Linked DNA regions of Anolis sagrei. The protein of the gene in region 2 interacts with the protein of the main gene of each other region in a pairwise test. Links are inferred from orthologs where the notes say so. Each region holds a gene or a part of one and is shown on either strand. Other genes may lie near its edges.

Region 1 (7,726 bases), on a different chromosome or scaffold from region 2:
AAAAGTAAATTACTGAAAACAGTCTCAAGTTACACATTTAGAATTGCGGCAAAATAAAATAATAATCGTCTTCTAAAATGCATTATGCAGGGGGCAGAACATTAAATTGGGACATCGGTGCTCAAATCTCCACTTAGCCATGGAAACCAACTGAGCGAATTTTGGGCAAGTTGCACTTTCTCACCCTTAGAAGATACCAAAGGCAAGAAAACCCTGCAATATGTTTGACATGAGTCTACTTGAAGGTATGTCAACACAAAAAGGATCACTGTGGTGTTGGGAGGTGAGCGGGGTGTGAACTGCACTGGTTGACACCAAAATGACTGGCTGTAAAATAATTATGCAGTTTTTCAAACAGAAATGTATTATTTGTATCCGAAATATCCCTGTAATTAGTTATACTTACAAAGACATTTTCCACATGCTTATATACACTGTATCGATATACATAAAGGGCTAAAACTGTATGCTTTTACTTTTTGAGCCTTCTAAGGCACACACACTCTGGCCAGAGATGCTATTAATCCCCAGGTACAATGATACTTAGAATCATGTGTTTCAGCCTGTAGGCACTGTAAGCATTCACTGCAGTTGTGCTGTTTCTAGTCGCCGGTTTTGTCAAATTCTTCTTTGTTCTGTGCCTTCAAGAAGTTTTCAACCAATGGCAGCCCTAGAGTGAACCTATCACAGGATTTTCTTGGTCATATTGGTTGGGGGGGGGGGGGTTGCTTTTCTCTGAGGCTTTTTTTCCCCTCATGTCACGAGCAACTTGAGAAACTGCAAGTCACTTCAGGTGTGAGAGAATTGGCCGTCTGCAAGGACATTGCCCAGGGGATGCCTGGATGTTTTACCATCCTGTGGGAGGCTTTTCTCATGTCCCTGAATATGAAGCTGGAGCTGACAGATGGGAGCTCACCCTGCTTCCTGGATTCAAAATACCATCTACTCCTCTTCGTTAGCCAGTGAGCAAAGGTACATCTTCAGATGTTTCTTGAGACAGGGAGGGAGGGGGCCATCTTTAACTCCTTAGGAAGGGAGTTCCAGAGGTGGGGGGTGGCCATGGAGAAGGCCTTTTCTCTCGTTCCAACCAGCCATGCTTGAGACAGGGGTGGGACCGAGAGCTGGGCCTCCTACGATGACCGCAGTGTCTGAATTGATCTATAGTGGGAGATGCAGTTCATCAAATAGTCTGGACTATCATAACAAAACAGAGGTTCAAACCTTGGTCTCTAGCTCAGAGAAAGGCGCCCCTTGTGTCAGCTGGACTGTATTTGGTCTCTAGAGGTTTACTTCAACCATAATGCCATGCTGGCTGTACCACCTGTATTAACTATGATGGGCTCTTGGTATCTGCTGGAGTTTGTTTCCAGTAGCCCTGGGGATCCTAAACTCTTGGAGGCTCAAGCACATTCAAGCAGTGGATAGTAGAATCTGTGGGTGCAGAATCCGTAAACATGGAGGACCAGCACTATGTTTTTACTTTTGATTCTTAGTCATCCAGAGCTGATAGTGTGAATGCTTATAAAGTTTGGGGGGGGGGGGTGGTCAAAGATGTGTAGCAAAACGATCGGACCCTTCTCATATTCCTTTTCCTAGTTTCTTCCTAAAAGCTCCCATTGACCCATCTAGAGCAGTTTCTCAACGTGGGGGGGGGGGGGTTGTGAGGGGGTGTCAGAGGAGTCACCAAAGACCATCAGAAAACAGTATTTTCTGTTGGTCATGCGAGTTATGTGAGGGAAGGTTGGCCCAATTCTATCAGTGGGATTCAGAATGCTCTTTGATTGTAAGTGAATTATAAATCCCAGCAACTACAACTCCCAAATATCAAGCTCTGTTTTCCCCAAACTCCACCAGTGTTTGCATTTGAGCATATTGAGTATTTGTGCCAAGTTTGGTCCAGATCCATCATTGAGTCTACAGTGCTCTCTGGATATAGGTAAACTACAACTCCAGACCTCAAGGTCAATGCCCTGCAAACCCTTCCAATATTTTATGTTCGTTATGGGAGTTCTGTGTGCCAAGTTTGGTTCAGAATGCTCTTTGATTGTAGGTGAACTATAAATCCCTACCACTACATATGTCATCAATTGGGGACCCCTTGTCCCAGCACTAACTGCTGCTCTGGGCCAGAGTGAAGAGAGAGGGGGGCAGACGACAGTTCCACCTTGTCTCCTGTGCTGTGCTAATAATATAATATAATATAATATAATATAATATAATATAATATAATAATATAATTATGTATTTTATATTACATGTAATACTAATAATATTACAATATAATGGTATAGTACAATATAGCAATATATATTACTGATATTGTACTATGCTAATAATATATCGTATGTATGTGTGTTTGTGTGTATATATGTGTGTGTGTGTGTGTGTGTGTGTGTGTGTATGTATATGTATGTATGTATGTATATGTGTATGTATGTATGTATGTGTGTGTGTATATATATATATATATATATATATATATATATATATCTTGTAAGCCGCTCTGAGTCCCCTTCGATTTATAACAGTAGCAAAATTAGTTATGAAGTAGCAACAAAAATCATGTTCTGGTTGGGGGTCACCACAACATGAGGAACTGTATTAAGGGGTCACAGCATTAGGAAAGTTGAGAAACACTGATCTAGAGCTTGGAGCAAAGTCCTTTCCCCCTTCTTCAAATCCTACAATCATCCCCCCAAAGAAGAAGAACTTCCCCCAAGTTTGGTGCCCATCCTGGTGTTTGGAAGTCGCCCCCAGCCTGGAAAGCAGCGAAGTGACGACTGTCGCAGCCGCCTAGAAACACGACAACAAACGCTCTGGCAACGGGATTGCCTCCCCCCACTCCTCCTCCTCCTCTTTTCCTTTCAGCCCCAAGTGGGCTCTTCATGCCCCACTTACCTGCCCAATCCAGCCTTCGCTTCCATGGCTCCTCTCAGCCAGAGACGAACCGCAGCATCCCCACCCGACGCAGCATCCAAGCCCAAGTGAAAGCCCCGCAGATTGTGTTCTCCTATCAAGGTTTCTTAAGCCCCGCCTCCCTCTCACGTCACCCCCTAAAGGCCCACCCCCTTAGGAGGCTAATCCAACCAATGATACCCGCAGCTCCGCATTAATTGGCAGGGCTGGATGAGGCTGCATCTGTCAATCCTAGGTAGAATTCATGCAGTTTGACTGCCATGGAGTTGTAGTTTTGGTGAGGTGCCAGCAGTTTTGACACCACTTTGCCATGGAGTTGTAGTTTTAGTGAGATACCAGCATAGTTTGGCACAGAAAGCTCTTGTAGGTAAAACTACAACTCCTTTGATGCCATAGCATTGGGCCATGGCAGTTCAAGTGATGCCAAACTACATTACTTCTATTATTATTTATTACTATTATTTCAAACATTTGTACCCCGCCCTTCTCACTCAGGGCAGCTTACATCTGGCACAATTCGATGCCATTACATATAAATAATACATACAAAATTACATATCAAACATAGTACATTAATTTTAAAATGAAAAGAACATTAATAAAAAGTGCAATGTGCAATAATACTGGCTGTATAGTCTTATGTAGAAACGAAATCAGCGAGCACAACACAATCGGAAGCTTGCTCATAGTCCATTTTCCATAACATTATCATTATTACCATTGTCAAATTATCTGCCATAAACACATTTTCAATTTCCTCCTGAAGGCAAGGAGGGATGCTGTTGACCTGATTTCACCGGGAAGCGAGATCCACAGGTGGGGGGCCACCACCAAGAAGGCCCTGTCCCTCATCCCCACCAAGCGTGTTTGCACCAAAGGAGGGGCCGAGAGCAGGGCCTCCCCAGAAGATCTTAAACTTTGAGGTGGGTTGTAGAGGGAGATACATTCGGACAGGTACGCTGGGCCGGAGTCATATAGGGCTTTCTACAGTGTAGATTAGACATGGGGCAAACTCTGTCCCTCCAGGTGTTTTGGACTTCAGCTCCCACAATTTCTGGCCTCAGACCCCTTCCTCCCCCCCCCCCTCAGCTTAAGCGTCTGAGGGGGGAAAGGAAGGGGTCTGAGGTCAGGAATTGTGGGAGTTGAAGTCCAAAAAAACACCTGGAGGGCCAGAGTTTTCCCATGCCTGGTAGATTCATCCTTCAGTGCTGGAGTGCATGTTCTATGAAAAGGGCCCAGGTTCAGTTGATCCTCCCATTCAGATAATCACAGAAGTGGTTTTTCATAAAAAGTCTATAGTTTTTAGGGGGTTTTTTTAATTATAGAAAGGAACTTTCTTCACTTCCAGTCTTCTTTGCCTTGTCTAGGAGGAAACTGCTTGATATTGTAACAATACTACCAGGCTGGAAAAGCTAGTCAAAGAATCATAGTATTGGAAGGGACCACAAGGACCATCTATTCCCTGCTAGGTAGGAATACACAATCTTTCGGGAATGCAGTCCTGAAAGATGACCATCCAACAACCTTGCGAGGAACCCCACTATAAAAGTAAAATTCTTCCCATTGATTGAATATACTATGCAATGTCGTTTCAACTTTTGTACTTCATGTTGTTTTAAATAATAATAATCATCATCATCATCATACATATGACAGATCCCAAATGTAGACTCTGCAAGGAAGCAGATGAAACAATACATCATATCCTGCAAGAAGATCGCAAGCAGACTACAAGCGGAGGCATAACACTGTTTCTCAGATGATTCATTGGAACTTGTGCCACAAATACCATCTGCCTGTGACAAAGAACTGGTGGGATCACAAGCCTGAAAAAATTACAGAAAATGAACACGTCAAACTACTCTGGGACTTCCGAATTCACAATAAGACACAATAAGACAGACTACAAGCAGAGGCATAACACTGTTTCTCAGATGATTCATTGGAACTTGTGCCACAAATACCATCTGCTTGCGACAAAGAACTGGTGGGATCACAAGACTGAAAATATTACAGAAAATGGACACGTCAAACTACTCTGGGACTTCCGAATTCAGACTGACAAGAGTTTTGGAACACAATACTCCTGACCTCATGATTGTGTTAAAAAACAAAGTATAGATCGCCGATGTTGCAATCCCAGGTGACAGTGCGATTAAAGAGAAATGACTGGAAAAGCTGACACAATATGATAATTTAAAGATAGAGCTGCAAAGACTCTGGCACAAGCCAGTAAAGGTGGTCCCAGTGGTGATTGGCACACTGGGTGCAGTACCTAAAGACCTTGGCCTGCACTTAAAACACAATCGGCGCTGACAAAATTACCATCTGCCAGCTGCAGAAGGCCACCTTACTGGGATCTGCACGCATTATTCACCGATACATCAAACAGTCCTAGACACTTGGGAAGTGTCCGACGTGTGATCCAATACAACAGCCAGCATAGTGATCTTGTCTGCTGTGGACTCATCTTGTGTTTCAAATAATAATAATACATTTTATTTATATTCCGCTTTATCTCTCTGGAGGAACTCAAGAGCGGATTATGATACACATATGAGGCAAACATTCAATGTCTTTTACACACAGTGAACAAAGACAGACAACACAAAGGTTAAGGCCTTCCCCTTTTTTCCATCTCTGACACCTGGAGGCAATGCTCAACTCTGGCCATGGGTGGTGCTCGTTCCATTTTTCCATGCCGAGGAATCTGTGTCTGTACACATATCTGATTGTGTTGCCAGCATGTCTGCATATCTGCATGGGGCGCCTGTTTACCTTTCTGCTGAGGCGGTACTTATTGCTCTAATTGCATTGCATGCTTTCGAACTTCTAGGTTGGCAGAAGCTAGGGCTGACAGTTGGAGCTCACCCGACTCATGCTTCAAACTACCAACCCCCTGGTCAGCATTTTCCTGCAGCTAGCAGTTTAACCCGCTGCACTACTGCACCCCCCCCCCCCCCATACTCATCTTTATGCTGGAAACCAGTTTGAATCCCATTTGGGATAAACGTAAATCAATCAATAATGGATGGGTGACATCTAGTGTGAAAGCCGTACATCTGAAAGAGATCTAGGGGTCTTGGGTAGACCATAAGCTGAACATGAGTCAACAGTGTGATGCAGCAGCCAAAAAAGTCACTGTGATTCTAGGGTGCATTAATTGTAGTGTTGAGATTGAGGGAAGTCAGTCTGCTATTCTGCTTTGGTTAGACCTCACCTGGAAGCTGGAACATGTCCAGAGCAGGGTGAACAAAAGGACCAAGGTTTGGAACCCAAGCACTAAGGGGAAGGCTTAGGGACCTGGGTATGTTGAGCCTGGTGATAGCCGAGAGGGGACATGATATCAATGGTGTAGTACAGGTACCAGACTGTATGGTTGTGTTCTAGCAGCAATTTCTTCAGAGATTCTCTGAAATTGTCAGCTATAGATGCAGGCGAAACATCAGGAGAAAATGCTACTAGAACATGGCCATACAGCCCAGAAGCCACACACCACCCGTGATTCTGGTTGAGATACCCTTCAACTTCCTGACCGAAAGGTTGGTGGTTTGAATCCGGAGAGCGGGGTGGGCTCCCACTGTTAGCGCCAGCTTCTCCCAACCTAGCAGTTCGAAAACATGCAAATGTGAGTAGATCAATAGGTACCGCTTCTGCAGGAAGGTAAAGGCACTCCATGAAGTCATGCTGGCCACATGACCTTGGAGGTGTTTACAGGCAACGCCAGCTCTTCAGCTTAGAAATTGAGATGAGCACCACCCCGCAGAGTTGCACACGACTACACTTAATGTGAGGGGAAACCTTTACCTTTTTCTACTGTATATTTCAGATTTGCCCTCTGGTAGGTATTTCCCCAGCCAGTAAATGATAAAGCAAGTATAAACTTGTTCAAGGAATATGTATTAGCTCAATTTTAGCAATTTCCCTGCATGTGCTGAAATAATTTTTAAAACTATTACCTAACATAACCTCTTCTGAAAGCATTGGTTTTTTGCTTACCTGCAGTAGTAAAACTGGACATAAGCAATAGGAACATGATAAAACATGTTCAGCAATGGTTAAGAAGGCCTTTAAAGGCAAGCACTAAGTGCAGGTTGTAAACGAAAAAGGCTATAATATACACGAGAAACTGCTGTATAAACTATATTCTGGCTCCCCTGCTTGATATTGAGTTGTATATGGATCAAATTGCAAGCACACATTATTGTGAATGACTTATTGATTCTTCTAAATGACTCAGGTCATCGTTTTTGGGAGGAAAAGAGTTGCATGCACACTTTATGCAGGATTTATGAGACCTGGGCATATTTATTTTTAAATCCATAGGCACACGGTAATAAATACAACTGCAAAACAGGTACTTGTGTTTGAAAATACACAATCAATATTTTGGATCCTGGAAGATCACTTCCTCGCCGCTCAGTTAGTATCTCATTATGGACTTCCTTCTTAAAAACAACATTCACATCACAGCTTTTGTCCTTCTGTTAATGTAGCCCTGGAGACGTTCCTCCAGATTATGAGGGACCCTCCAGAACAAGAGCAAATGTGGAAAACTGGTAGGATTCTCCCTCTTCCACTGGAGAGCCTCTACTGGATCTCTCAAAAATGGAATGAGTCTTTCAACTCATAAGGAATTATACACTATTTTAATTTTTGGCTATCTTAAGGATTTAATGCAAAATAAAGGCAGAGGGACACATGTTTCAAATTATTTTTGACCATTTTCATCAGGAAGGGAAAAGGCTAAGCCTCACAACTATATTTTAGTTATTACATTCATAATACAATATGTTTTATTGTGTTGACA
Region 2 (7,049 bases):
CATATAAAAATCATAGAAGCTATAAAAACTATAAAAATTATAACAATATTAGTAATATTACATGTAAAATAAAATATATAATTATAAAATTGTATTATTATTATTAGTATTATATTGTATTACATTATATTATAAATATTATATGTATAAACAATACAATATATTATATTATTAGCATAGCACAATATCATTATATATATTACTATACTGTACTATACCATTATATTGTAATATTATTAGTAATATTACATGTGATATAACATATATAATTATAATATTGTATTATTATTAGTAATACATTATAATATTATAAATATTATATGTATATACAATATATTATAATACCATATTGTAATATTATTAGTAATAATATTAGTAATATAAAATATATATTAATATTGTATTACTATTAGATTCGTATTGCATTACATTATAATATTATAAATATTTTATGTATATATACTAGCTGTCCCCTGCCACGCGTTGCTGTGGCCCACATGGGGATTCTGTTTGGGAGGTTTGGCCCAATTCTATTGTTGGTGGGGTTCAGAATGATCTGTGATTGTGATTGTAGGTGAACTATAAATCCCAGCAACTACAACTCCCAAATGTCAAGATTCTATTTTCCCCCAAACTCCACCAGTGCTCAAATTTGGGCATATTGAGTATTCATGTAGAGTTTGGTCCAGATCCATCACTGTCTGAGTCCACAGTGCTCTCTGGATGTAGGTGAACTACAACTCCAAAACCAAAGGACACTGCCCACCAAACCCTTCCAGTATTTTCTGTTGGTCATGGGAGAACTGTGTGCCAAGTTTGGTTCAATTCCATCGCTGGTGGGGTTCAGAATGCTCTTTGATTGTAGGTGAACTATAAATCCTAGCAACTACAACTCCCAAAAGACAAAATCATTTTTGAGTGAAGAACATACATTGGGTTGTTAGGTGTCTTGTGTCCAAATTTGGTGTCAATTCGTCCAGTGGTTTTTGAGTTCTGTTAATCCCACAAACGAACATTACATTTTTATTTATATAGATAACATTGTATTCTTAGTATAGCACAGGAGACTACACAAACACATGATACATATACATACAATATATTATATCATTAGCATAGCAAAATACTATTATATATATTAATATATTGTACTATACCACTATAATTAGTAATATTACATGTTTTATATATATATATATATATATATATATATATATATATATATATATATTGTATTAGCAGTAGTCCTATATTGTATTAGTAAAGGTTTTCCTCTGACATGCAGTCCAGTCGTGTCCGACTCTGGGAGTTGGTGCTCATCTCCATTTCTAAGCCGAAGAGCTGCCGTTGTCTGTAGACGCCTCCAAGGTCAGGTGGCCGGCATGACTGCCTGGAGTTGCATTATCTTATCTTATATTATATTATATTATTAGTATATTAGTATTAGTATAGTATTATTAGTATTATTAGTATTAGTATAGCACAGGAGACTACACAAACACATGATATATACACATACAATATATTATATTATTAGAATAGCACAATATTATCATATATATTACTATATTGTACTATACCATTATAATTAGTAATATTACATGTAATATTATATATATATATATATATATATATAATATTGTATTAGCAGTAGTCGTATACTGTATTAGTAAAGGTTTTCCCCTGACATGCAGTCCAGTCGTGTCCGACTCTGGGGTGTGGTGCTCATCTCCATTTCTAAGCCGAAGAGCCGGCGTTGTCCGTAGACACCTCCAAGGTCAGGTGGCCTGCATGACTGCCTGGAGTTGCATTACCTTATATTATATTATATTATTAGTATATTAGTATTAGTATAGTATTAGTATAGTATTATTAGTATTAGTATAGCACAGGAGACTACACAAACACATGATATATATACATACAATATATTATATCATTAGAATAGCACAATATTATTATATATATTGCTATATTGTACTATACCATTATAATTAGCAATATTACATGTAATATGTGTGTGTGTGTGTGTGTGCGTTTGCGAATGATTCCTATGCGTGGAGGCCCAACGCTGAACGAGAAGCATATATATACTCAGTTCTTGTGGGTTTTTTCGGGCTATATGGCCATGTTCTAGAGGCATTTCTCCTGGAGAAATGTTCTAGAGGAGAAATGCCTCTAGAACATGGCCATATAGCCCGAAAAAACCCACAAGAACTGAGTGATTCCGGCCATGAAAGCCTTCGACAATACAGCATATATATATATTACTATATTGATAATTAGTAATATTACATGTTATATATATATATATATATATATATACATATACAGTATATATATATATAATATTGTATTAGCAGTAGTCATATACTGTATTAGTAAAGGTTTTCCCCTGACATGCAGCCCAGTCGTGTCTGACTCTGGGGTGTGGTGCTCATCTCCATTTCTAAGCCGAAGAGCTGGCGTTGTCCATAGACACCTCCAAGGTCAGGTGGCCGGCATGACTGCCTGGAGTTGCATTACCTTATATTATATTATTAGTATATTATTATTAGTATAGTATTAGTATAGTATTATTAGTATTAGTATAGCACAGGAGACTACACAAACACATGATATATATATATACAATATTTTATATTCTGAGTATAGCACAGGAGACTGTATAAAGGGTAATGTGCGTCTGTGAATGATTCCTATGTGTGGAGGGAGGCCCAACCGTGAATGAGAAGCAGGCCTTTGCTCACCTCCACGCTCTGCTCGTCCATGGCTGGCCGGCCTCCCTCTAGGCCCGCTCGGCCTCTCTCTCTCTTCTCTTCTCTTCCTCCTCCTCCTCCTCCTCCTCCTCCTCCGCCGCCGGCCTCTCTGAGGGAGGCAAACACACGCCTGGGTCAGCCCATGGAGTCTCCCGCGTTCACGGCCCCCCAGGCCCCCGCAGGCCCCCCGCCAAGCCGCCCCCCATCTCCCCTCAGAGGCGCTCCTCCGGGCCGGAGGGAGGGAGGAAGGAAAGAAAACAGACCCAGCCTGACACTCACTGCGCATGCGCTGCCGCCACTGCCTCCCCGCGCGCCGCCTCTGCTGCATTCGCCGGCCGCCAGGAAACCGCAGCACGCATGCGCGCTAGGGCAACCCGGGAAAGGACCGCACTGCGCATGCGGGGGAGCATATGATTGGAGAACCCAGGCAGGCTGGGCTAATCCCACCACTTGCTTGCTCCATCCATGTTCAACATCTACACAAATGACCAGCCACTGCCAGAAGGGACAGAGAGTTTCATCTATGCTGATGATCGTGCCATCACCACTCAAGCAGGGAGCTTTGAGATGGTTGAACAGAAGCTCTCCGAAGCTCTAGGTGCTCTTACTGCCTATTACAGGGAAAACCAGCTGATCCCTAATCCATCTAAAACACAGACATGTGCCTTTCATCTCAAGAACAGACAAGCATCCTGAGCTCTGTGGATTATTACCTGGGAAGGAATCCCACTGGAGCATTGCAGCACACCCAAATATCTGGGAGTCACTCTGGACCGTTCTCTGACCTACAAGAAGCTTACTTACTTACTTACTTAGGCGATCCCTCATTGGACGAGTAAGATGGTCTTCCATTATGGATTTCCTTGTGGGTCCGTATGTGGCTGTGGAGCCCTATTCTTGCTCTGTATCTTCTTCCGCAGTGAGGGCATTGGTTTCCAGGTGGAAGGCGGTCTCGGTCGGGGTTGGCTTGACGCGCCTTCCTCCTGGCACGTTTCTCTCTTTCACCCTCCACTCGTGCCTCCTCAAATTCTGCAGCACTGCTGGTCACAGCTGTCCTCCAGCTGGAGCGCTCAAGGGCCAGGGCTTCCTAGTTCTCAGTGTCTATGCCAGAGTTTTTAAGGTTGGCTTTGAGCCCATCTTTCAATCTCTTTTCCTGCCCACCAACATTCCGTTTTCCGTTCTTAAGTTCGGAGTAGAGCAACTGTTTTGGGAGACGGTGGTCAGGCATCCGGACAACGTGGCTGGCCCAGCGGAGTTGATGTTGCAACTACAAGAAGCACTGCCTGAACATCAAGCAAAATGTGGGTACTAGAAACAATATCATATGAAAGCTGATTGGCACAACCTGGGGATCACAACCAGACACAGTGAAGACATCTGCCCTTGCGCTATGCTACTCTGCTGCTGAGTATGCATGCCCAGTGTGGAACACATCTCACCACGCTAAAACAGTGGATGTGGCTCTGAATGAGACATGCTGCATTATCACGGGGTGTCTGCACCCTACACCACTGGAGAAATTACACTGTCTAGCAGGTATTGCACCACCTGACATCCGCCGGGAAGTAGCAGCCAATAGTGGAAGGACTAAGGCAGAGACATCTCCAGCTCATCCCCTGTTTGGGTATCAGCCATCACGCCAACGACTTAAATCTAGACAAAGTTTTCTAAGATCTACAGAGACACTCGCTGGAATGCCTCAGCAAGCAAGAGTCCAACAGTGGCAGGCCCAAATCCAGCACCTCAACCAATGGCTGTTACAAAATGAGAGACTCCCCCCTGGGCACACAGAAGACTGGGCGACTTGGAAGGCGCTGAACAGACTGCGCTCTGGCACCACGAGATGCAGAGCCAACCTTCAGAAATGGGGCCACAAAGTGGAATCCTCGACATGCGAGTGCGGAGAGGAGCAAACCACTGACCACCTGCTGCAATGCACCCTGAGCCCTGCCACATGCACCAGGGAGGACCTTCTTGCAGCAACATCAGAGGCACTCCAAGTAGACAGATATTGGTCAAAGGACAATTAATCAACTACCAAATTCACAAGTTGTGTATCTTTCTGTTTGTTTACTTTGTTCTGTTAGAAATGTAATATAATGGACTGGTTGCTCTGACACAACAATAAAATAAACCACTTGCTATGTTCAGACCATACAGAGAAATCCACAAGCATGCAGGCAATTTCAACAGAAAGGAGACAGCACCCTTTTATTATTATTTTTAAGTCTCTTCTGCTGTGTTTTCCAGTGTTTTTATAAGTGGTCACTTGTTGGCCTGAGAGGTGTCTTGTGTCTAAATTTAGTGTCAATTCGTCCAGTGGTTTTTGAGAATCTCACAAACTAACATTACTGGGTTGTTGTGGGGTTTTTTGGGCTATATGGCCATGGTCTACAGCAGTGCTTCTCAACCTGGGGTCCCCAGACGTTTTTGGCCTACAACTCCCAGAAATCCTAACAGCTGGTAAACTGGCTAGGATTTCTGGGAGTTGTAGGCCAGAAACACACACGAAAGGAAGCAGTAACCTGTAGATGCAGGACCCAATACCAACATGACAGGCAGCGACAAGTACCCAATGCACGGACGAAACCAACACCTTGCCTTCTGCAAAGATTCCCCATTTCAGAGCCTACTTTTATCTTACACATCATCATCAGAAGATGAGCTGACCTCCGCCCCATCATAATCTCTTACAGCTGTTCTTGACTCCACACGTGAATTCCTACTCCCATCCCTCCAACTTCTCCAACTTCTGTCAAGACTTAGATTCCCCCACACAAGACTCAAATGTATTCCCCGATTGCCAGTCCTCGTTACCAGAGAACCCTACAAATGTATCACTAGACGTTGGCTCTGCACATACAGTTTGTATCTCTTTTACCTTAGTCCAGTCCAACGTGTCATCCCCATCTTCATCGCTCCCTGACCCATCACTCCCAGAGAAACCTACAAATGATTCTTCATCTATGGGAGCAGTAAATATATCCTCTTCCTCTGTCGCTCCTCATCCGATTCTTGCTCTCAGGTAACCCTCTTTGTTCCCCTATTCCCATCCATTGTATCGTCTTCCTCTCCCTCACTCATTGACCCTTCATCCCCGGAAAACCCTTCGAATGAGTCTTCATCGGTAGGTGCCATAAGTATATCCCGGATCCTTTTCCTTTGTTGTTCCTCATCTGACTCCTGCTCACGAGTACCCCTTTCTCCCCTTCTAACACCCATACTACTGCTTGCAACAAATGTCAGCATGCTAGAAGAAGCAAGGACCACCAGCACTGAAGTGATGCTCCTCCGCTATCAACTCCGCTGGACCGACCACCGTCTCCCAAAGTAGTTGCTCTACTCCGAACTCAAGAACGGAAAACGGAATGTTGGTGGGCAGGAAAAGAGATTGAAAGATGGGCTCAAAGACAACCTTAAAAACTCTGGCATAGACACTGAGAACTGGGAAGCCCTGGCCCTTGAGCGCTCCAGTTGGAGGTCAGCTGTGACCAGCAGTGCTGTAGAATTTGAAGAGGCAGAATGGAGGGTGAAAGTGAGAAACGTGCCAAGAGGAAGGTGCGTCAAGCCAACCCCGACCAGGACTGCTTTCCACATGGAAACCGATGCCCTCACTGTGGGAGAACATGCAGGTCAAGAATAGGGCTTCACAGTCACCTACGGAACCACCGCAAGTACACCGATCTTGGAAGACAATCCTACTCGGACAATGAGGGATCACCTAAGTAAGTAAGTAAGGTTTCATTATTATTATTAGTAGTAGCTGTCCCCTGCCAGGCGTTGCTGTGGCCCAGTCTGGTGATCTGGAAAATCAAGTAATGAGAAAGTGTTGGTTTCTAATATATCTAATTTCTTTATGGTTGTGGGTAAACAGTATTTCTTGCTGTTTCTTTATCAATGTTGATGTGGAGATTGTCTGGTTTGCCTACTCTGTAACATGCAACATACAGGGTTAGTCAAAATGCATAGGCCAATAAGCCATTCAATTGAATGGCTTATTGGCCTATGCATTTTGACTAACCCTGTATAATTGTCCTTCTTTACGGAGCCCTTTAAAATCTATGATACTATAACTGTGTGTGTGTGAATCATATATATCTATCTATATCTATGGCTGGATGGCTCTTTGTCAGGAGGGTTTTGATTTGCCCTGGTGAAGGGAGTTGGACTGGATGGCCTTGAGTATTTTCTGTTGGTTATGGGGGTTCTGTGTGGGGAGTTTGCCTCAATTCTGTCATTGGTGGGGTTCAGAATGCTCTTTGATTGTAGGTGAACTATAAATCCCAGTAG

The links. The genes of interacting proteins can lie anywhere in the genome.
Region 1: the proteins of TRIM37 (region 2) and FAM124B interact in a two-hybrid assay, tested with the Homo sapiens proteins (2 studies listed by BioGRID and IntAct). The link is inferred for Anolis sagrei from reciprocal best matches to the Homo sapiens genes TRIM37 and FAM124B.

The regions. Positions count from the first base shown.
Region 1 is NC_090023.1:234,189,216-234,196,941, forward strand, and holds the start of FAM124B (protein FAM124B), read right to left. Parts: upstream 3,018-7,726; 5' UTR 2,899-3,017; intron 1-2,898.
Region 2 is NC_090031.1:22,626,587-22,633,635, forward strand, and holds the start of TRIM37 (E3 ubiquitin-protein ligase TRIM37), read right to left. Parts: upstream 3,017-7,049; 5' UTR 2,772-3,016; coding exon 2,751-2,771; intron 1-2,750. UniProt on the Homo sapiens protein: E3 ubiquitin-protein ligase required to prevent centriole reduplication. Probably acts by ubiquitinating positive regulators of centriole reduplication.